Cricetulus griseus: one gene and its partners. The protein of the gene in region 1 interacts with the protein of each later gene in a biochemical or structural test. Links are inferred from orthologs where the notes say so. Each region holds a gene or a part of one and is shown in the gene's direction. Other genes may lie near its edges.

Region 1 (4,739 bases):
TATACTTCTTTCTGGGAGCCTTCATTTTGAATATACTGACTGTGATCTGAATGTATTCCCTTAAGTTTGTATATAGGAAATTGAACTCCAGTGCAATAATGTTGGGCAGGTGTTTGGGTCTTTAAAGTTCGTCCCACAAGAATATACAAGGACCGTCATGAGAAGGGCTTTGAAAGAGGTTCATACTCACTTTCCACATGAGATTGTAGCATTCCTCCCCTGTGGAGGATACAGCTCAAGGCCATAACTTAGAGACAAACATCTAACCTACCAGGCCATGATTTGGAATGTCCAGCTCATGTATTGTCCAGCTTGTGGTGTTGTTACAGTAGCACAGAGGGACAGTATACAGGGAAGCCTTGTCACCCTGTTTTATACCATGCTTGTTCATTTTCCTGTGAGGTTAACAGCCTTGGATAGTGCACAGACACATCTCTTTCTGAAGGCTCCATGGCCTTCTATTTGCTGTTACTATTAGGAACTAACAGCATTTAAGAATGCAGTAGAGTCCATTTGGATGAAAAACAAGTGGCCACCTGAGGTTGAGACCAGAACCCTGGAAGCCTTAGTATCCTTTCCAGAAGCCCTAAACATCTGATAGGCTCTGGTAAATTGGTGCCAACTTAGTTGATTGGCACCTCTAGTGTTTCTGTTCTGCCAGTGGACCCTACTGAGTGTGTGTACATGCCCTTACAGGAACACGTCTTCACATTTGCCTGTCCTCATAGGAGCATCCTTTTGTATAGGTCTTCAAGGGAATGTGCTGCTGTGGTTTACTGTTTGGGTCTCTACCTTCTTGGGCTGTTTGAGATGGATAGAACATTGCCTTAACAACTGTCTCCCATGGCCTAGATGACAGAAATGCCTGGAGATGTGACACCACATTCTTTCTGGGCTTGTCCTACTGTCACCAGGGGGTGATGGAGTATTTGGCCTGTAGTATTGAGCCTAGAGTGTGACCAGCTTTCTAGTTGCAATCTGTGCTACTTTGAAGTAGAGAGAGATGTAAGGTGGTTCTTTCTGATCTTGTGAAGACCTCTGTTAGTCTGTAAGAGGGCCTCATGTGTCTCTCAAAGTACTTTTTAGAGAGTAAACATGCCAGTTTCCCAAGTGTGAGTGTACACGGATGTAGTTAGATGTTCTGATAGGTGAATAGACTTGGGATACAAGGGGCTTTTCTGGTATCTGTGCCTTCCTAGACTAGTATGTGGCCCTTAGATGCTTAGGGAGTCTGGTGGACAGGGTTCTTTTTTTGCCACTTGGAACCTGGGATTGAATTGAGATCTCATGAGGGATGAGAGAAGGCTTGGGGCAGGGGGCTCCTAGGTAGGTGTGTCTCTGACCTGCCACAGGGCCTAAACTAGCAGCACATAACAGGACTGGAACAACTTGCTTCCCCAGGTCTCTGGCCAGTATCGCTTCCACCTGTCCACAAGCATGGGGAATATCTTTGCAAACCTCTTCAAGGGCCTTTTTGGCAAAAAAGAAATGCGCATTCTCATGGTGGGCCTGGATGCTGCAGGGAAGACAACAATTCTATACAAACTGAAGCTGGGTGAAATTGTGACCACGATTCCCACCATTGGTGAGAGGCTGGGCCAGGGCCAGGGTGGGGGTTGGATTTGGGGTTCTGGAGTACAGAGGGCACTCAACTGTAACCCTGCCCCCAGGTTTCAACGTGGAGACAGTTGAGTACAAGAATATCAGCTTCACCGTGTGGGATGTGGGTGGCCAGGACAAGATCCGGCCGCTGTGGCGCCATTACTTCCAGAACACCCAAGGTGAGGGGTCGATTCTTGTCGTGGATTCCTCCTTTGTCTTAAAGGGATGCATTTCTCACTGAGCCTCGTGACTTTTCCAGTTGTATTGTGGCCAGTGGGAAGACTGAATCTAGAGCCTATGGGTAGACCAGATGGGCAATCTTCAACATGTGCAGTAATGTTTTCCTGTTGCAGGCTTGATTTTCGTAGTGGACAGCAATGACAGAGAGCGTGTGAATGAGGCCCGTGAGGAGCTCATGAGGATGCTAGCTGAAGATGAGCTCCGGGATGCAGTTCTCTTGGTGTTTGCCAACAAGCAGGTAGGCACCAGCAAGGTCCTTCCCTGATGGAGAAACCTGTGTCAGGGGAGAGAGAGAGGGTGGGTGAGAGAATGCCCTGGGTGACTAGCTGCTGCTGGTCCCTGCCACTAATTCCTCCTTTCCCCCAGGACCTCCCCAATGCCATGAATGCGGCCGAAATCACAGACAAGCTGGGGCTGCACTCTCTACGCCACAGGAACTGGTACATTCAGGCTACCTGTGCCACCAGTGGGGATGGGCTCTATGAAGGACTAGACTGGCTGTCCAATCAGCTCCGGAACCAGAAGTGAACCAGACCCCTCCCTCCCCCTTACTTCCTCCTCTCCGCCCTCCGCTTTCCTCTCATGTGGCAAACGTGCGACTCTGTGGTCCTGAGTGCCAGAAGCTGTCTCCATGGGTTGGTCACAGTGTGCATCGCACCGTGCTGTACATGTGCAGACGCAGCCTGCAGCCAGGTTTTTATTTAATGTAAATAGTTTCTGTTTCCACTGAGGCAGTTTCTGGTACTCCTATGCAATATTACTTAGCTTTTTTATTGTAAAAAGAGAATCAACTCACTGTCAGTACTGAGAAGGGATTTGGGTGTAGGGGCACCTGGCCTCCGGGAGCCATTGGGCTGTAAACTGGTGTCAGTATCCATTTGGTGGTTGGTTTTTAACCCAAACTCAGTGCATTTTTTAAAATAGTTAAAAAATACAGGACAAGAACACTTGAACACACAGAAAGGAGACTATGCCTAGTGTAGGTTTTGCAGTAATGGCCTGAATGCTAGTCCATCGGATCACCTGTTCCCCTATGGGAACAGGAGAGAAGGTGACAAACCACCATCCGCTGCATGGTCACAGTAGAGCCCCCGTGACTCGCCTGTCTTTGGGTCACCTGCATTCCATAGCATTGTGCTTGTACTTGTGCTCACATGGTCACCTAGGGGTTGGCTGGGGGCCATTGTGGGGTGCAGGGCCTGGCTTGTATTTGGTGTGTGGCCGGGCCAGATGGCAGCCTACATACCCAGCTTACTCTTGGGCCCACTTGGACGCGCTGGCAGGAGGCCTGGGTCTCACCAGCAGGAGCGCGTGCAAGCTGGGAGGGTCAGTCCATTCCAGACCCACATCCTGGAGCACCCCCATCTCCATGTGTGAAGTAGCTTTCTCCCTCAGCCTGCAAGGGTCCGATTTGCCATCGAAAGACGACCTCTACTTTTTTCTTTTGTATTTTGATAAACACTGAAGAAGCTGGAGCTGTTAAATTTATCTTGGGGAAATCTCAGAACTGGTTTATTTGGTGTCGTGGAACCTCTTACTGCTTTCAATACACAATTAGTAATCAACTGTTTTGTATACTTGTTTTCAGTTTTCATTTCGACAAGCACTGTAATTATAGCTATTAGAATAAAGTCTCTTAACTATTTGATGGGCTTGTGTATCAGTGTCACCACTGCGAGGCTGCCTCCTAAGAGAGCCCTTTTTAAATTTGAGAGAAAACAGGTGCCCTCTACGCCCTGGTAGAAGTAAGATCTGGGTGGCTCCCCTCAACATCTCAGAGTTACTACCAGCCTCAGTGTGCTTTGTGACAACTGAGGTGTGCCTCCTGTCCCTTCAGTAGGCAGCCAGCTTTGGGGTGGTACATATCTCTGAGTAGGTGTGGCCACTAGGAGATCCAAAGTCTACCGTCCTGAGTGGGTCCCTGCCTAAGTGGATAGACCTTCACCCCCTTGAGGTGGTATTTTAGATAACTAATCTTCACTCATGTTTAGGTGGCTACCTGCAGAGCACAGGCCAACAAACAAGCTACAACTTGAGTCTCAGGACACTTTAGGGTCTGCCCAAGAGTACACACACCCAACAAATAAGCTTTACAATCAGAACACTTTGCTGTGTGGAATCCACCCTAATTTCTACTGTCTGCCCATGTATGTATATAGACTCTAAAATTGCTATTATATGGCTGTGGAACCCACTGCCTCTGCTTAGGTAGAACTAGATTGGACCTCTTGGGCAGGTTGCAGATGCATTCGTACAGAAGTTTGTTCTAACTCTTTGGCCTTGGGGTAGTCTCAAGGACAGGATTCTGGTCCCTAGACCCAGTGCCCTCAGGTATACTCGATGGACGCCCCATGCTAGGACCACAGGCTCCCAGCCTAATGTGCCCTCAGTGAGATGATACACTCTACTTTTAAAATACATTTACTTATGTACAAAGTGGGTTGATACAAAAAGTAGAAGTAACCAGATACACACACACACACACACACACACACACATACACACACACACACCTAAATCTCAAGGGCCTGAACTGTGGCAGCAGAAACAGGAATCTGGCCTTAGTCTCCTAGGCAACTGTATCTTCCTTGGAATGGGGGCAAGGCAAGTTACTACCCTCACACAGTCACCAGGCTGTGGTCACCCAGGACCCCACTCCTCAGCAACATGGGGTGGTTGCCACATCAGTTGCCTCCAAATGGCAAGATAGACTCCAAGGTCCAACAAGCTTGGTTCAGAATCCTACCAGAGAGCAGCCACCTGCCTTATCCCAGATAGGGATGGGATGGTTAGTCTGGGCAAGTAGGGAAGGGGCTGGTAGCCAATTGGCATCCAGTGACTACTCTTTATAGACCCCACAAAGCTTGGTGGTGGGCAAGGTCCCAGCTCAGGGCAAC
Region 2 (5,862 bases), about 11 Mb from region 1:
GCCCTCTTCTGACCTCCTTGGGTTCCTGCATGTGCAAGGTGTATGTGTGTATGTATGTATGTACGTATGTGTACATACACACACACACACACACACACACACACACACACACACACCTTACCTGAGCTTATTGGGGTGGCGCACACTTTTGATCCCAGCACTCAGGAGAAAGAGGCTGGTGGATCTCTGTGAGTTCTAGGCCAGCCTGGTCTACATATCAAGCTGAGACCATCTTCTATAAACAACAAAAGCAAAGACAACCACAAAATATGTAAGACATGAATGAGCACACTTTTGGGCAAGTCTGTGGAGATGTTTTGGGGGGAGGGGTGTTGTTTGGTTTTTTGAGATAGGACCCAAAGGTTGAGAACCAGCGACATACAGAGATCCTATTTAATTTGTATGCATATAAGATTTTTTAAATTAGAGAAAGATGAACAGATACTTTAGCATATGAAATATAGTTAAGACCATTGATATTTGGAGATGTACATTTTGTTTTTCGAAACAGGGTTTTTCTGTGTAACAGCCTTGGCTGTCCTAGAACCAGGCTGGCCATGAACTCACAAAGATCAGCCTCCTTCTGCCTCCTGAGTGCTGAGATTAAAGGCTACCACACCGGGCCAGAGATGTACTACTAAGATTGCAATGCCATACCTTTCACACCACTCAGATGGGTAACACTAAAGACTTACATCATTGGATGTGCACTGTGCACGCTATGGAGTAACAATCATAGAAGTACTATTTACTGGTTTTTTTAGAAATGTAAAATAGACCTGGCTGTGGTGGCACCCACCTTTTTAATGCCAACAACTCGGGAGTCTGAGGTGGGCAACTCTGTGAATCTGAGGCCAGCATGGTCGAGGACAGTCAGAGATACACAGAGAAACACTGTCTCAACAATAACAACAACAAAACAAAAACAACAAACAAACAGCCGGGCGTTGGTAGCACATGCCTTTAATCCCAGCACTCGGGAGGCAGAGGCAGGCGGATCTCTGTGAATTCGAGGCCAGCCTGGTCTCCAGAGTGCCAGGATAGGCTCCAAAGCTACACAGAGAAACCCTGTCTCAAACAAACAAACAAACAAACAAAAGAACAACAAACAAAAAGAAACCTGTCTTAAAAAAAAGAAAAAGAATGTAAAATAGAAGAGCCATTTTGAAAGGGGTTTTTATTTTCAACTTTTTCTTTGCTTTTATTTTGTGTATATGCATGTTTTGTGTGTGCAGCGTCTATGGAGGCAAGAAGAGGGCATTAGATCCCCTAAAACTGGAGTTACATCTATTTGTGAGCAGCCATATGGATGCTGGGAATCGAACTTAGGTCCTCAGCCAGTACCCTTAAGCACAGAACCATCTCTCCAGATCCTTTTTTGGGGGTGGGGGGTGGGGGTGCTTTTCTGTGAAGCTTCAGCAGGCCTCCACTCCCAAGCTTTACAGTCCTCTTGCCACATTCTCTTTGCTGCTGGGCTACAAACTGTCAAGCCCAAGCCCAGGTCTTGACAGTCTTCTATAAGTTAAACATACACTTATATGATCCAGTAATTCCACTCTAGTTATTTACCGAAGAGAAATGACTGGTACATAAATGTTTATGGGAGCTTTATTTCCCGAGGACGAAAACTAAAACAACTCAAATGTTTATCAGTGGAAATGTAGAAGAAAACAAAGAAGGAAGAGAGGGAGGGAGGGAGGGAATGAAAGAAGGAAGGGAAGACAGACTGATGACCTTTAGGATCTGAAAAAAAAAAAATGTTGTTTTAGACTGGAACTTACAAGTCAGCATGTTCTGGGCTGCTACCGTACCTCAATGTCTGGCTAATCTCTACTGAGCAATAAACGTTTAGTGAAAGAAGAATGAGACTTTTCATACTGCAACGAACTTGTAGTCACCATCCTTCTGGCTTTTTAATCTCTTCTTACCTCCCATCAACAAATGCTATCTGTACAGGGCTCAGCAAGGGGACACCAGCAGGTCCTCTCTCGCCACCGAGGCCAGTTCCGCCCAGATTCCAGGCAGCGCTGGAGACCAGACAACCCAAGGCCCGCGCGCGCGCAGTAGAGGAACGTGAGCAGGGTGGATCACACACTCGGGGATGCTGGACTTCCCAGCTCGGCACCCCCGAGGGCATCCAGCGGGAGAGGACGGCCCTGGGGAGGGGGCGGCCCCGGGAGTGGGCGGCCCCGGGAGTGGGCGGGCCGGGCTGGGCCGGGCCGGGGCGTCTATATCGCTGCGCCCGTAGAAGGCGGCGGGGGCGGGACGCGGCTGATGCGCCACCCGCGGAGGTGAGGCCCTGAGCCCCGGTCCCGCCCCGACCCTCTGGGGTGTGGGCTCCTCTCTGAGTTCTGCTCCCGGTGCTTGCGAACCCGCGCGGGTGCGGGCGCCCGCAGCCAGGGTGAGGGGCCGGGGACGTGGCGCGGCTGAGATCGGCGACGGGGTCCAGCTGGAGCTGCTCCGGCCTTCTGACTCAACCGCACACTCAGATTTCGGGATTTCTCTGCTGGGCGGGGAACGCGTCGTAACTTCCTCATTCCCGCCGGGACCCTCGCTTCCAGCCCGTCTGGCCTGACTTTGAGCCCAGCTGTCACCGGGATTCCTCCCTTGGACTTACCTCGCCCCAGTTCGAGGCTATCCCAGCTTGGCTAGGTGCTTCTTGGACCCTGAATACGGAATGAGAGGCAGGGCTGGGGGTTGCAGAGATGGGAGGCTAGAGGGGCGTCGGTCTGCAACTGTAGAAGTTGGGAGTCAGCTGAATGAGATGGGTGAGGGCCGGGGGCGTTAGGATAGGGAAGGGTGTTTCTGTATGGGCGAGTCCCTTCCTGAGGCTTCCTCATATTCCTAGGATGACTGCAACCCAGGAGAACCTCTTTCCCTATGGGGACTACCTGGACTCCAGCCAGTTGCACATGGAGCCAGATGAAGTTGACACTCTGAGGGAAGGAGAGGATCCAGGTACACAAGGAGATGGCCCCCACAGAGGGGAGGATAGGGATCTGGGTCTCCTGAGATCTACACCCTTGGGCTTTTTTTTTTCCCTCCCAGCTGATCGAATGCACCCCTTTCTGGCCATCTACGACCTTCAGCCCCTGAAAGTGCACCCCTTGGTGTTTGCCCCTGGTGTCCCGGTTACAGCCCAGGTGGTGGGCACTGAAAGATACACCAGTGGATCCAAGGTGGTTGGGCTGGTACCATGGAGGGTGGGAGAGGGAGGCCTGGCCAAAGTGGAGGGTTGGGTTGGGCCGGAAGACTCTGAAGACATGATTTTCAGATTTTTATACCCCCAGGTGGGAACCTGTACTCTATATTCTGTCCGCCTGACTCATGGTGACTTTACCTGGACAACCAAGAAGAAATTCCGACACTTTCAGGAGCTGCATCGGGACCTCCAGAGACACAAAGTCTTGATGAGTCTGCTCCCTTTGGCTCGGTGAGTGGGACTAGAGTGCTTCCTGTAAAAGGCAGACAGATAGTCCTCACCCCATGGCAGTCTTTACTCCTGTCTGCCTATCTCACCCCCAACCTACTGTAACCTTTTCTTCACAGCCATTTTCCTTCCCCCAGCTCTGTGCTGGACCCTGGTTCCCAAGAAACTTCCTCTGGTTCTCTTTGTCCATGGTACTATGCCAACATTTCAGCCAGGCTGGATGCCCAAAATGTCCTTGGCAACACCCCACCCCACTTGTCTCCACTCCCAGGATAGAGACCCTTTCTTCTGCCAGCCTTTCTCCCACTCCAAGGCCCTGTCTCCAGTGTTTCAGGCATCTAGCTTGCCAGCTCTTCCCTGAGCCTTCTCTTACCTCCTGTATAGCTTTGCTGTGGCCAGTTCTCCAGCCCGAGAGGCAGCCAATGAGGACATTCCCTCCCTACCCCGAGGAGGTTCTGAGGGCTCCACCAGACACACAGCCAGCAAGCAGGTATGACCTAACACCAGGTCCTGTAGCAAGGTGTTGTAGTATGCACAAGGCTCTGGCTACATCTGTTTCTTTCCCACCCCCATTCAGAAATACCTGGAAAATTACCTCAACCGCCTCCTGACTATGTCTTTCTATCGAAATTACCATGCCATGGTAAGGTCCAGTGTCTAGATGCCTGGGTGTATCTCTCTCTCTCTCTCTCTCTCTCTCTCTCTCTCTCTCTCTCTCTCTCTCTCTGTCCCTGTCTCTCTCTCTCTCCAGGGTCTTACTGTGTAACCCTGACTGGCCTGGAACTAACTACTGTAGACCAGGCTGGATTTGAATGGACAGAGATCTATCTGCCTCTGCCTCCCCAAGTGCTGGGAGTAAAAGCCTGTGCCATCATGTCCTAGGATGCCTGGGGTTTTTTAATTAGATGACGACAAAGGGGCAGAATAAGTAAGGCTAAGGGGCTAAAAAGCCAAGTCTCCTCCTGAGCTTATTTCTTCCTCTGCAGACAGAATTTCTAGAAGTCAGTCAACTTTCCTTTATCCCAGACCTCGGCTCCAAAGGACTGTGAGTGTGGGAATCCCCCGCCTAGCCTTCTGCAGACATCAGTCCCCATCTACCTGCTTGAAAAACATGTAGTATGAGTGCGTAGAGTCCCCAACTCTCCCGATTGTCCCTGTAGGGAAGGGGTGATCAGGAAGCGCTCAGGCGGGCATCGAGTTCCTGGCTTCACCTGCTGTGGCCGAGACCAAGTTTGTTATCGATGGTCCAAGAGGTGAGGGCTGGAATTGAGCAGGGGTCTGTGGGCAGGTGAAGAGGGAACTCTGGAGGACCTTGACAGTATACACAGCCCTTCCCCTCCAGATGGCTGGTGGTGAAGGACTCCTTCCTGTTGTACATGCGCCTGGAGACTGGCACCATCTCATTTGTTCAGCTTTTCGACCCTGGCTTTGAGGTGCAGGTGGGGAAAAGGAGCACAGAGGCTCGGTATGGGGTGAGGATCGACACCTCCCACAGGTAAGGCCTCCCTGGTGTGAGAGCCTTCTGTGACCTGAGGGGAGTTGAGCTGGAGACACCATGGGGGAGAGGAAAGCTTCTCAGTCCTCCATGTCCTGGTCCAGCCAGAGCTTTGAATCAGGGAACTAGTCTATCCATATATTTAGGATACTCCTAGAGTAAGGGCCTATAGTGCAGGGGTTTGGAGGCTAGAGAGAGAAGAGTGGATAGTGGTCTTGCAGAGGCCCCGAGTTCCGTTCCTTGCACCCACATTGGGTGGCTTATGCCCACCCATAACTGGAGCTTATGCCCACTGGTAACTCCAGCTCTAGTGAGGCTGATACCCTCTTCTGAATTCGGTGGGCATCTTCACTCACACCTGCACACACACATGCACACATGCACACTAAAGACATAAAAAAGAAAAGGAGCCGGGCATGGTAGTGCTTACCTGTAATCCTAGCCTTTGGGAGGCTGAGCCAGGAGGACTGGCTCTGTAGAACCGGAGCTCTATAGTGAAACTCTGCCTTAAAAAGAAGAGTGAGAGAGAAGAGGAAGGAAGGGAGGGAGAAAAGGGAAGGAAATTAAACTCCATTTGTTCATTCAACAATAACAATAACATTGTTGAATGAGGACCTGATACAGTACTGTTCACTGGGAACCCAACTACGAATAAAGCAGATATCTGCACTGTCTGTGGATTCCAGCTTAGGGGCTAATGGGGGAATTAAGAGAAGGTAATAGCCAAAAGGGGGGCTCTCTGGACAAGACTGTAGGCTGAAGGAGAGGGATTAGTGGTAGACCTTCTCCTTTCCATCCAGGTCCCTGATTCTCAAATGTGGCAGCTATCGGCAGGCACGGTGGTGGGGCCAGGAGATCATGGAGCTGGCGCAGGGGCCAGGCAGAGATTTTCTACAGCTACATCGGCATGACAGCTATGCCCCGCCCCGGCCCGGCA
Region 3 (5,903 bases), on another chromosome or scaffold:
GTGACTTCCTGTGGTTCTGTAATGCCAAAAGGAATCAAAGCACCAGGGGCCCAGAGCTGTCCTTTCCCAAAGCCTCGATGTCCTGGTCACCTTCAGGTGGACATCCTGGTAGTTCTAGGAAGCACTCTTCTGGGCGGAGCTTGCAAGCAAGAGCCTAGAGGGTCACAGGGCTAACTAGGGGGCAAGGGAAGGGAGAGGCTGAGGCTGGTGAGCCTAAAATATTCTGGAATACTATACCTAGTGATGTGTGTCTGTTTCTCAAAAATATTATACATATGTGTACTATATATGATATAAATACAGATCTCTGTCTTTTCTGTTGGTTCCTGTAATAAGATGTGAACAGAGTCAAGCCAATTGGAGCCCCTTGCAGAGATCTTAGAAGACTTACTTTAAATCCCAGCAACTCCAAGTAACTTCAGGACTTTAGGCAAACCTTTCCTTGTGTTGCTTCAGTTCCTGGAACAAGGGCCACTAGAGCATGAAGTTCTCCAAGGGTCCTCCCAAACAGGATGGCCCTTCACCTGATGGAGGCTAGGATACAGTGCAGGTCCTAACATTTCCTGTCCCCACCCTCATACTGAAACACACAGCATTCCAGGGGTAGTTGGAAGGGGATACTGACTTGATGGCTGGTTCCATATTGTATGTAGATTATAGGACCAGCAAGAGGAAGCAGGAGCTATCACCAAGAGTCAGTGCTCCAGGTCAGGGGCTGGGGATGGAAGGGGCAGCTGTTATCTCCAGGGTCATGTTCACTGTGAGAAAAGTGGAATTCTCAGGGGAGCCCTATCATTGTAGTAAAGGCTCAGGAGCTCCAGCAGGGTGCCTGTGTTTCTGGAATGTTGGTCCTTGTTCTTGGTCTTCACCCATAGTACAGCCACCTAAGTGCCCAGCAGGCTGGTGGCCAGCAGGAGGGGAGCTGCCAGGAGGAGGGAGTGCCCTCTCCCTTGTTCCCAACAGAGAGCCAGCATTGGCACTGGCTTGCCTGAGTGAATCCACCCACCCATGCCCTCTCTGGCTCTCATCTTGCTTTATCCTTCAGAATCCCCAGGTAATAACCGGACAGGATTAATTAGCTGGCAGCTCTCCCACCCCTGGGTCTAGGGCAGGGAAGGACTAGGGATGATGGAGACCATAGTGGAGAAAATTGCTAAGCTGATGTAAAGAGGCAGGGGCATGTGGTTCTATTGGGAAGTAGAGGGTGGGATAGGATTGGCACAACCAGGTCTCCAGCAAGGGAGGGCATGGGTCAGGCCACTCATAAAGGTCAGAGAGGGGATTAGGAGGCTCCATGACTAATCCAAAGACTTAACCAAGTCCTGGCTCTGAATCCTCCCGACCTGTGCAGCCCAGGGACACAAATGAGGACAAGACCTGGAAGTCACATCAGCCCCATTATGGGCCTATGATTTACAAATATGCCAGAGTCCCCATCACAGACAGGACCCTCACTGCTTTTCCTGCAAAACAGAAAGGATTCTGGGAGGGGGAGGCGATTAAGAAGGGCAGGACTTTGAGGACTGAAAAGCTGGGTGGAAGGAGGACCTAACCACAGAGACCTGGAGTGCTGCCAAGAGAGTCAGTGCACATTCTGGAGGCAGAGGCAGACAGATCTCTGTGAGTTCGAGACCAGCCTGGTCTACAAGAGCGAGTGCCTGTGACAGGCTCCAAAGCCAAGAGAAGCCCTGTCTCGAAAAACCAAAAAAAAAAAAAAAAAAAAAAAAAAAAAAAAAAAAAAAAAGATTCTGAGGGAAGAGGATGTCTTGGGCAAATATCTGGGGAAGGCGGGATTTTAGGAGGAGGAAGCTAAGACGAGCGTTTAGGAGAGAGGAAGAGCCTGAAAGAGAGAAAGCACCAGGAGGGTAGATCCAGGGTATTTGTGGTCCCCAATACATTTGGAAGGGATAATGCCTTTATTTTACCATCCTTTGACTGAGGAGACTGAGGTGTGGAGGAAAGTCACGTGAGGTGGTACGGAAAGAGTTCAGAGACAGCCACTGCCTGAGACAGAAGTACCCTGAGGAAGAAGGCAAAGACAGGACTGTGCGGCTCCCAGTTGCTTGGCAACCGCCGCGGTCAAAAGCTAGCGTGGAGGGCCAGGAGGTGTGGTCCCAGGAAACACCTCAAGGTTGAGACTCCGCCCTTGACAACAAGACTAATCAAATACCACCCCCTAACAACGAATTTCTGAAAAGGTTAGGCCGTCTTAGTCTGGCTCGTGCGCAGGCGCAATCCTCCCTGCTCCACGAATCCCCACCTCCTGCTCCCTCCTTTTTGAGTTTTCTTATTGGAGGATAAAGCTGCCAGGGATTTTCCTTTGTTTCGGGGGCGGGACCAAGCCCCTGGACGCACTTCGATTGGTCACTCTAACAGTCTATCGCTAGCTGTACGTGCCTGCAACCGCTTCTTGTGTGTCTATTGGTCCTGGAAATGATCCTGTGGTTTCGGGGGCGGAGCAGTCTGGGAGACCCGCAGCCGATTGGGTGGTGTCAAAGCGAGGGGCGGGCCCCAGCGGCCGGGCGGTTGGGCCGTGAAGGGAGAGTCTTTTCGGCGCTGAGGACTGGCGCTGAGGAGGCGGCGGTGGCTCCTGGGGCGTTTGAGCGGGCTCACTCGAGCCCGCGGGCCGACGCGGACTCAGGCCCAGCCGGCGGAACCGCCCCGGACTCCCCGCGGGCTTTTCTAGCCGCCATGGAGGACGGTGTCTACGGTAGGCCAGGCGAGGCGGGAGGGCGGAGTGGCTCCCAAGCCCCGCCAAGGACAGCCGAGCGGTGGTAGCGAGGCGCTCTTGTGCGCGCGGAACGGGCTTCCGGCGCGACCGAGAGCCGGGGGTCCCGGCCATTGTTTGGGCCGAGCCCTCTTCCGGCGGCGGCGGGCGGGGCGGGGCGGGGGGGCGGGGCGGAGCGACAAGAGCGGGGCGGGGCGGGGCGGGACGTACACCCGCGCGAGCCGCTGCCTTTCTTGCTGCGAACCTTGGTTCTGTGACCTCCCTACCGATCCTGACCCCGGTCGTGATGCCATGGCTTGTCTTCACTGAGCACCCAAGATTCAGACCACAGATCCAGGAGCCAGAACCTCGGTTCCTTTCCAAGAAAGGCACCCAGGATTCAGGACCCCAACTCTCCCACTATTGTGGAGCCAGGGATCAGGCCTCCTTACAAGAAATGTATCCAAGCTCCATGCCAGGGTCCCCACCGTGGTGGACCCAGGAACCAGAGTATTGGTGTTTTTCCAAGAAATGCACCCAAGGTCCAGGATCCCAGGTCATCAGCCATGATGGAGGGACCTGTTACCTTCCAAGAAATACACCCAGGATCTGGGGCCCCAGATCCCTTGCGATGATGGAGCCATGAGCCCAAGGCCCTGTGTCCTTCCAAGTAATGTTTTCAATATCCAAGCCTCCCGTTCTACTGTGATGGAACCAAGGAACCAGGGCATCCAAGTAAAACATCTAAAGTAACATCCCAAGAGTTCCTCATTGTGGTGATGGGTCCAGGAGCCCAGGGACTGGTTCCTTTCCAAGTAATACACCCAAGATTTAGGTCCACACTTTCATGATGAAGGCAGGGCTCCATCTTTCCAAGTAATGGGCCCAGAAGTTCATCCCCAGACCTATTAAGAGATGAGATTCCCAGGCACTTCTGCCCCAGACTAAGGGTTCAGAGTCTTACTCCCTCTTCCCTAAGAGTTGTAGTAGCCATTTCTCTTCTGGACAGGAATCCAGGCTCTTAGCCTTAATCTTGGCCCCCCCAGAACTCATTTCCTGACCCTGACTCCTAGAGCCCCCAGACTTGACTCCGGAGGAGCGCATGGAGCTAGAGAACATCCGACGGCGTAAGCAGGAGCTGCTGGTGGAGATCCAGCGCCTGCGAGAGGAGCTGAGTGAAGCTATGAGTGAGGTGGAGGGTCTGGAGGCCAATGAGGGCAGGTGAGGACTGTGGCGAGCTCGTGGGACACAGGGCTTGGCCAGGGCCCTGGATGCTCAAGTGTTGACCTTTGGCTGCTGCCCATCCTGCTTTTGCAGTAAGACCTTGCAGCGGAACCGGAAGATGGCAATGGGCAGGAAGAAGTTCAACATGGACCCCAAGAAGGTTAGTTAGCTGAGCAGATATATTCAGGCATGGTTTTGATATCCTAGGTTCTAGAAGTGTTAAGATAATAGGTTTCCTCTAGGCAAGACTCCTGATCCCTGTCCATCTGTTCCATGAATGTTCATGTACTGAGGCCTCTGGGAGCCCGGTCCTGTGCTGGGCAATGCTGGGAATGCTAAGACCCTGCCTTACTCTGAGGGATCCCCCTAGGTGTAAGTGCTACAGTTCAAGGTGAGATATGGCAGTAAGGGAGGGGTGCTGTGTTTACAGCTTGATGGGTAGGTATCTGCTTCTTTTTTTATACAGTGTATCATGTATTCAATTATTCTTCAAACCTGTTCCAGCTATACATGCCGGAATCAGTTAGGCAGAGGTTGAGAGGATGGGCTAGGGATGACCATGCTCTGTTAGGGTGGAGAGGCTTGGATGGGGAGCAGCAGCCTCTGCCTTGGCATAAATCTGGCATCCTCCATCCAGGGGATCCAATTCTTGGTAGAACACGAACTTCTGCAGAACACACCTGAGGAAATTGCCCGCTTCCTGTACAAGGGTGAGGGGCTGAACAAGACAGCCATTGGGGATTACCTCGGGGAAAGGTGAGCTGCCCAGCCTGTACAGTAGTACTCCCAGCCTCAATAGGAGTTCATGGGTAGAGCAGGTTTGTGGCCTCCACCTGGGTCATGATATAGTGGACTGACTGGCTCTGAGGGAGCTTGAAACTAGAGGGAGATGGACCTGTAGTCATCCAGTAAACAAGGACACTGTTGAAGTCTGAGTGTCACTGGCTTAACCACGCATATACAAGCTAGCATATGGAAAGTATTGTCTGGAAGTTTTTATCATGGGTCAGAGCTGCAAGTGTTTGGAGACCTGTGGACATGTGATTGCATAGCAACTGGGAACTAGCTATGAATTCTTAGACAAAGGTCAGTTCTGAGATAAAGGCATCTGGGAAGCGTGAGAGCAGTTGCAAGATGACATCAGGTGGTCTGTGTACTCAAAGATCTGACAAGCTACAAGAACAAGGTTCATCTGCAGGAGGGTGGCATAGTAAATGAGATGATACTGCTATGGCTCCTGTCACTCCTCCTGATGGGACTCTCTCTCTTCCCTCCTCCAGGGAAGAGCTAAACCTATCTGTGCTCCATGCTTTTGTGGATTTGCATGAGTTCACCGACCTTAATCTGGTGCAGGCCCTGCGGTGAGAATGGGACAGAAATGTACCTGCCAGGACTTTCTCAGTTGTGAGGAACATACCATTCCAACAGAGATGCAACAGTCAGGAAATGACTGTCTCTAATAAACAAGTTCAGATGGGGCCTCCTTCAGGCTTTCTCTTGGTGTATTCAGTGGATCTTCCTACATGACAGCAAAAAAGCACCTGGCAACCCCAGTCCAGTTTAGCCAACTCGGGGTAGAAAAAAGACTTTTCCACTATAGATCCACCAGAATCCATGGCCAGAACCTACTGGTCTGATCAAATTACATGCCTACTGAAATAGCAGCTGGGGCAAGAGATTTTGATTCTGTTTGTTTGGGGGGTTGGGGTTCAGACAGCATTTCACCGTGTAGCCCTGATTGGCCTGGAACTCAGTAGACCAGGCTGGACCCGAATTCACAGAGATCCACCTGCCTCTCCCTCCTTCCTGGGTGCTGGGATTCAAGGTGTGCATCACAATGGGCAAGGTTTGGATAATGATTTGTCCGATTCTGACAGAGACTTAAGAAAGTAGAGTGTTTTCCCAGCCCTGAAACCTATGCCAGACCAATTTCTCCCCTAACCAGGCAATTCCTATGGAGCTTTCGCCTCCC
Region 4 (5,726 bases), on another chromosome or scaffold:
GCTGGTTACTATTGTCATCTCTGACACTGAGTCCTAAAATTACAAACATAACTTTTATAAGTTTGTGGATTCTTTGAGGCAAGAGACCCCACCTTGATTTTTGTATGTAATACACACACACACACACACACACACACACACACACACACACACACACAGTTTGATGAACCAATAGGAAAACAAAGAAAATATGCTAATACTTCCTGGTAATATCAAGGTTTTGCTTAATTTTTTGATGGAGGCTAGGCCAGTAATGTTCACATTTTGTTTGTACTTCATTGCTCCTAAAGCTGCTGACACAAAGGACATTAGTGCAGGTATGGGCACCGAGTGTCTGACTCAAAGTTCCACTCACCCAGGAGCTGTGTAGTCTTGGGGCATGTCCCCACCCTCTCTGAGCCTCTGCATCCTCCTAATGGGATGGGGATGAATCTAGACATTTTAGTATGCATGCTGTGTCTGAAGAACCAATGCAGGAACCAAGGGTTTCAAACAGAAGTTATACCTGGCCTGTAGCTGATGTGATTGAGGTAGAAGCCACTGGTGGTTAGCTATGTTTTCAAACATTTTTTTTTTTTTTTTTTGGTGGAGGTTGGAGAGGTGGCTCAGTGGGAGAAGTGGTTGCCACACAAATACCAGGACAGGACTTTGGACCCCTGTACCCACTTAAATGTCAGGTGGATGTAGCAGCCTACCTTTAATCCCAGCCCTTGGGAAACAGAGATTGGGGGATCCCTGGAACAAGCTGGCTGGCTAGACTAACCAAATCAAGTTCTGGGTTCAAGTGAGAGACCTTGCCTTAATGTATAAAATGAAGAGTCGATTGAGGAAAGATAATGACATCAACCCCTGGCCTTCATATAGATACACAGACACGCACGCACGCACGCACGCACCACATGCTGGCAACAAGTAAATGAATCACATAGAAACTTTTCTAATATTTTTTTTTCTTTAAAATCTTGGTTTCTTACACTGCAGTCTCTTTCAGGAGGCCTGACCCATCCATTTTTATACCACTTTCACTGACATGAACAGATACCCCCGAAATTTTGTGGTGAGATTACAGAGTGACTAGCTGGAGAGACCTTAGAAATGCCTGACCTTCACAGCTGCCTGCACCTTGTCTAGATGTACCCTCCAGGAAACTGTGGCCTTTTCAGGCCAAGAGAAGACCCTCCATCTGCATCTGGAGAAGGGGAGGAGGAAGGAGGGTGGGTATATTGCATTTTCCTCCTGGATCCTGTAAACAAGATGACTAACAGTGCATCTGTGTTCAAGATGGTCTGAAGAACTGGCTTGATGGTTGTATATAAATCCTGTATTACATGGGGGTGTAGTCACAGATGAGCATTTGTGGGAGGTGAGGGCCAGGGCCAGTAAGAAGGGGGCATGAAGGATGAAGGGAAATGCAACTTTAGATACTCATGGTGTGCATGCCTGGCTCATAGTGTTTTAACTATGTTCCAGGGCCAGTTCCAGTTGCCCCCCAAAGTGCTAATGTAAGCTAGAGAACTGTTATTTCCATTTTAAAATTGGAGAACCCAGATGGTTAGGAAGGAGAGGAGCCTGGCAAGTTGCCTGCTGCTCAGGTAGCAGATTTATATTTTGGAAAATACCCTATAAATTATCTTAGAGAAATGCTGCCCCAGTGCCTCAGGGAGCAACTACTTTTTGTTGTCTTCTTTTAAAATTATTTTTTATTTATGTGTATCTGATTGAATTTAGGTGTATCAAGTACACCAGGCCCCCTTGGAGGTCACAAGAGGGCATCAGCTCCTCTGGATCTGGAGTTACAGATGGTTGTGACTCCCTGTGTGGCTTGTGGGACACTAATACCATCTTCTAGGAGCAGTCAGTGCTCTTAACTGCTGAGCCATCCAGCTCCTTTTGCTTTCTAGGAATTAACCATTAGAGGTTACAGGTTCCAAAGAAATAGTTGTTATTGTTGAGATCCTTGTTGTTGGGTGGATTGGAATTACTAGCCTCAGAGTTACGATCCTTCTGCCTCAGCCTCGGGAGTGCTTTTTCAGCAAGTCATTTGAGTTTCATCTTATAAGCTACACGGATAGCAGAGGCCTCAGATGACCCTGTAGCAGGTCCTGGAGAATGGTATAGGTTTACTGCGCCCGGTTGATCCGCTCCGCGCGGCGATAATCCAGCCCAGCTCTTGGGCCTTCCCTACGCCGCGCTCGCCGCCGCCTCCGCGCTCCCGGGACTCGCAGGCCCCGCTGGGCGCGCGGCCCGCAGTCTCCGCACGTCGGCCTCCGCCCGCCCCGCCCCGCCCCGGCGCGCATTTCCATTTTAAACCGCTGCCCGCCCGACCGCCCGCCCCTCGACCGACCGCGCTCGGCGCAGCTACCCGCGGGGATCGAGGCGAGGCTGCGGGACCGCCGAGCTGTGCAGGAAAAGGCCGTGGGATGCGCTTGGGCCCCGCGCCCTAGACAATGAAGCCGCGGGCGCCGCCGCCCGCAGCGGGTCCTGCGCGCCCAGGCCGCACCTGCCGGCGAGGCGGGTTCCGCGCCTGAGCGCCCCCCTGGTCCCCCATGGCTCGGTTCTCCAGGCGCGGACCCCGGCACTCGGGCCGCGTGGCGCGCGGGCAGGCGGACTCCAGGGGCGCTGTTCCCGCAGCCTAAGCGCGGGCCTCGCTGCGCGCGGGGGGCGTGGGCGCCGCTCCCTGCCGGCCCGGGTTGTGCACCTGGCCGGCTCTGCGCCTGCGGCGCGCATCCCGACGGCCGGCGGCGCTGGATGCAGTCGAGCCTCGGAGGGCGGCGCGGCGGCCGCGGCCCCTGGGGACATGTACCTGCTGGACGGCAGCGGCGAGCCCGCGTCGCCGCCCGCGGACGCGATGCCGCGCGGGACGCCCCCCAGGAAGACTGTCTACCGCATCTCGGTGACCATGGTCAGGAAGGAGCAGCTGGTCGCTCCAGCTCCGCTCCCCACTCGGCGGCTCCGGCCCGCGCGCTCCCCGGACGCGCCCGGGCGGCTGGAAGAGGAGGCCGAGGAGGCGGCGGCTGAGGATCCTGAGGCCGGGCCGCGCGCCTGGGACTTCCGCGCCTTCCGCACACGCAGCACCGGGCAGCTGGAGCTCGGGCGGCTGCGGCCGTGCACACGCGACACAGAGCCCACGGACCTGATGGGCAGCCCCTCGGCCGAGGGGCCCAGCAGCCCTGATGGGGAGGAGGCTCGGGCCGCGCCCCTGCGGCGGAGTCTCAGCTTCAGGCACTGGAGCGAGCCCGAGGCGCCGCGGAGCCCTGCGCTGAGCGGCGGGAGGCGCCACAGCAGCTCCGGGAGCCTGGCATGGGCGCCCGACGACGAGGTCGAGGCAGAGGTCGACCCGGAGCTGGTGACCGGAGCGCAGCCCGTGGCGGAGAAGCGCAACACCTTGGATGTAGGCGAGGTGCTCAGCAAGAATGATGCGCTTTCGGACCTGGAGCGCTGGGAGCGCAGCAAGAGCAAGAACCGCACGCTGGACAACAGCGACCTGCAGCGGCTAGAGCGCGCGCGGGCCGCGGCAGCCGGCCCCGGGGCAGCCTCGGAGCACCGGCTGCTGCGCTTCTTCAGCGGAATTTTCGCGCGCAGGGACGGTGGGCCCTCACCCCGCAGCGGCGCCCTGCGCTCCCGCGGTTACTTCAGTCTGCGGCGAGCTCCGGCAGACACGCACTCGTCTAGCGCCGAGAGCATCGAGGGGTCTCCGCGCAGAGGTGGGCAGCCCGGGGGATGGTGGAGATGCCCTTGGACAGGCCTGAGAGCAGTGGGGGGCTGGGCCTGCGCTCCAGCAGCCTAGGGCCCCTAGAGAACACCTGCCTTCCCTGGTGTCTGGCCTGCCAGTGGTCGTGAGGATGTGAACTTTCCTGCCACTCACTGCAGCAGCCTGGGTGGTCCTGAATAGCTGTCACCCCAGGCTTTATGTGCTTTAGCAGTTCTGGGCCTGTCACCTGGTCTTAGTGAGCTTGACTAGGGTAAGATTACCTGGCCATTTGCTGCCCCACTTGCTGGCTCAGCCCTCTCCATCTGTAGGATGGGGTCTAGAGTGCGCCTTTGCCCAGATGGGGGTCCGGTGGCGGGTGGGGTGGCATAGCAGCCTTGGTCCTGGACTGTGCTATGCAGGTGCAGCTCCTGGCCAGCTATGAGGAGCTCACATTCATTTTGAGTTGATCTTGCCTCCTTCAGCGCAACACGCTGCTGTTGGTTTCACCGTCTGAGTGCAGTGATGGCTGATCTGGGTGGTCCCACCTATGGAGCTTTGGGTAGAGTCAGCTCATAGCCCTCGAGAGCTGGTGATAGACATCCAGGCCCCTCTCCCTCCACATGTCACCAGGGAAAGCAAGCCGGATAAAGGATGTTAGGGAATGAGGGGCCAGTCCTGAAGCCCATCCTGAAAGTTCAGGGGTGTCTTGTTTCTCCCATGCCTACTAGGGCCTTGTGGAGAAGTTTCTGGAGGTAGATACTGAAAGTGGTGGTGAATTAGCCATATGATAGATAGCATTTGGGGTCAGAAGTCTCTTGAAACCACGAAGCATGGATCTGGTTTCTGTATATCACCTGGATGAGTAATTGTTATATTACTACTATGTGTGTGTGTGTGTGTGGGGGGGCATTTCAGTAGGGCGACTCCTTAATCATGCTTCTGATTACAAAAAGGTGGGCTGATGACCACAAAGGTAGAAGCAATGGAGTATAGTGGTTCCTACATCATCAACTGGCTCCCTCCATCCCAAGCTAGCTGACTGCCCTAGGTCCAGGCTCACATTAAAATCAACCTTGGCAGAGGACCCATGGAAGACAAACTATTCTCATATTGCTGCCTAGGAATGTACTAGGAAGAGGAGGGTTGGAGCCAAACTCTGCCATGGCCTGCTTGCCTGTTTGTTTTATTTGTTTTGCTATGAAGTTATCTGTCACCAGACTTGGTTGGTTGAGTTGCCTTAGCTGTCTAGTTTTAACATGCCCTGTAGCACTTTGGCACACTCCTTCCTCCACTGCAATCATTAATCCCTCTTACTCTCTCTCCCCCTCTCCCTGCTTTTAAAGTGTTAGAAAATGGCAGGCGTTCTTTTGGGGGCCACTGAGAATGACTCAGCCAGGTAAAGGCTTTTGCCACCAAGCTGGTGATCAAGTGTGATCCCCATGGCCCACACAGTGATAGGAGGGAACTAACTTCCACAGGTTGTCCTCTGATCTCTCCATATGTACCACAATGCCAACTGGCAAGATCATCCATGAAAATAAATAAATGAGGAAGAAAAAAAGAGTTGGTTTGCAGGAAGTGCCTGTTGTCATTTGCACAGAGGAAGTGAGAATTGAAAGGTCCCTGTTTACTCTAACAGCAGGCTTGCATCTCTGTTTTTGTGGACTTGGTAGAGAACAGTAATTAGTTGCTTGGATTCCAGATAAGTCCCTGTCTTACGGAGATGGGGAACCGCACAGACATGATTGACATGAGTGTGCTTCAGCTGCACCTGGACACAAGGTAAAAGCATTGGAGGTTTTGATTCATCCTTTGGGACAAACACTTGAAAGTGGGTTTGCAATAGTAAAGGTGTTAAGTGTGGGAAGTTTGCCCCCTAGGGGTGCAAGTTTTTAATAGTTAACGACTGTAGTAATGATCTTATTGCTTGTCTCTGTGGACAGACCTTCACCACAAACTTTATGGGTCATGTGGAAAACCCACAAGCTGGGTGTGATGGAATGTGTTTCTAATCCCAGCACTTGGGAAGTACAGT

What was found. The genes of interacting proteins can lie anywhere in the genome.
Region 2: the proteins of Arf1 (region 1) and Pld2 form a complex in vitro, tested with the Homo sapiens proteins (2 studies listed by BioGRID). The link is inferred for Cricetulus griseus from reciprocal best matches to the Homo sapiens genes ARF1 and PLD2.
Region 3: the proteins of Arf1 (region 1) and Cyth2 are reported together in a solved structure, tested with the Homo sapiens proteins (3 studies listed by BioGRID and IntAct, with this or other methods). The link is inferred for Cricetulus griseus from reciprocal best matches to the Homo sapiens genes ARF1 and CYTH2.
Region 4: of the proteins of Arf1 (region 1) and Agap1, one has a biochemical effect on the other in vitro, tested with the Homo sapiens proteins (2 studies listed by BioGRID, with this or other methods). The link is inferred for Cricetulus griseus from reciprocal best matches to the Homo sapiens genes ARF1 and AGAP1.

Annotation. Positions count from the first base shown.
Region 1 is NC_048600.1:73,271,816-73,276,554, reverse strand, and holds the end of Arf1 (ADP-ribosylation factor 1), read left to right. Parts: intron 1-1,401; 5' UTR 1,402-1,437; coding exon 1,438-1,585; intron 1,586-1,670; coding exon 1,671-1,781; intron 1,782-1,955; coding exon 1,956-2,080; intron 2,081-2,208; coding exon 2,209-2,370; 3' UTR 2,371-3,490; downstream 3,491-4,739. UniProt on the Homo sapiens protein: Small GTPase involved in protein trafficking between different compartments. Modulates vesicle budding and uncoating within the Golgi complex. In its GTP-bound form, triggers the recruitment of coatomer proteins to the Golgi membrane.
Region 2 is NC_048600.1:84,349,915-84,355,776, forward strand, and holds the start of Pld2 (phospholipase D2), read left to right. Parts: upstream 1-2,459; 5' UTR 2,460-2,652; intron 2,653-2,848; 5' UTR 2,849-2,849; coding exon 2,850-2,958; intron 2,959-3,048; coding exon 3,049-3,179; intron 3,180-3,192; exon of another isoform or gene 3,193-3,290; coding exon 3,291-3,433; exon of another isoform or gene 3,434-3,455; intron 3,456-3,701; exon of another isoform or gene 3,702-3,814; coding exon 3,815-3,920; intron 3,921-4,007; coding exon 4,008-4,073; intron 4,074-4,416; coding exon 4,417-4,475; intron 4,476-4,528; exon of another isoform or gene 4,529-4,590; coding exon 4,591-4,683; exon of another isoform or gene 4,684-4,708; intron 4,709-4,772; coding exon 4,773-4,925; intron 4,926-5,355; exon of another isoform or gene 5,356-5,431; intron 5,432-5,725; coding exon 5,726-5,862.
Region 3 is NC_048599.1:154,707,527-154,713,429, reverse strand, and holds the start of Cyth2 (cytohesin-2), read left to right. Parts: upstream 1-2,500; 5' UTR 2,501-2,691; coding exon 2,692-2,710; intron 2,711-2,929; exon of another isoform or gene 2,930-3,780; coding exon 3,781-3,928; intron 3,929-4,024; coding exon 4,025-4,091; intron 4,092-4,568; coding exon 4,569-4,687; intron 4,688-5,211; coding exon 5,212-5,292; intron 5,293-5,876; coding exon 5,877-5,903. UniProt on the Homo sapiens protein: Acts as a guanine-nucleotide exchange factor (GEF). Promotes guanine-nucleotide exchange on ARF1, ARF3 and ARF6. Activates ARF factors through replacement of GDP with GTP.
Region 4 is NC_048595.1:441,110,080-441,115,805, forward strand, and holds the start of Agap1 (arf-GAP with GTPase, ANK repeat and PH domain-containing protein 1), read left to right. Parts: upstream 1-2,323; 5' UTR 2,324-2,797; coding exon 2,798-3,704; intron 3,705-5,726. UniProt on the Homo sapiens protein: GTPase-activating protein for ARF1 and, to a lesser extent, ARF5. Directly and specifically regulates the adapter protein 3 (AP-3)-dependent trafficking of proteins in the endosomal-lysosomal system.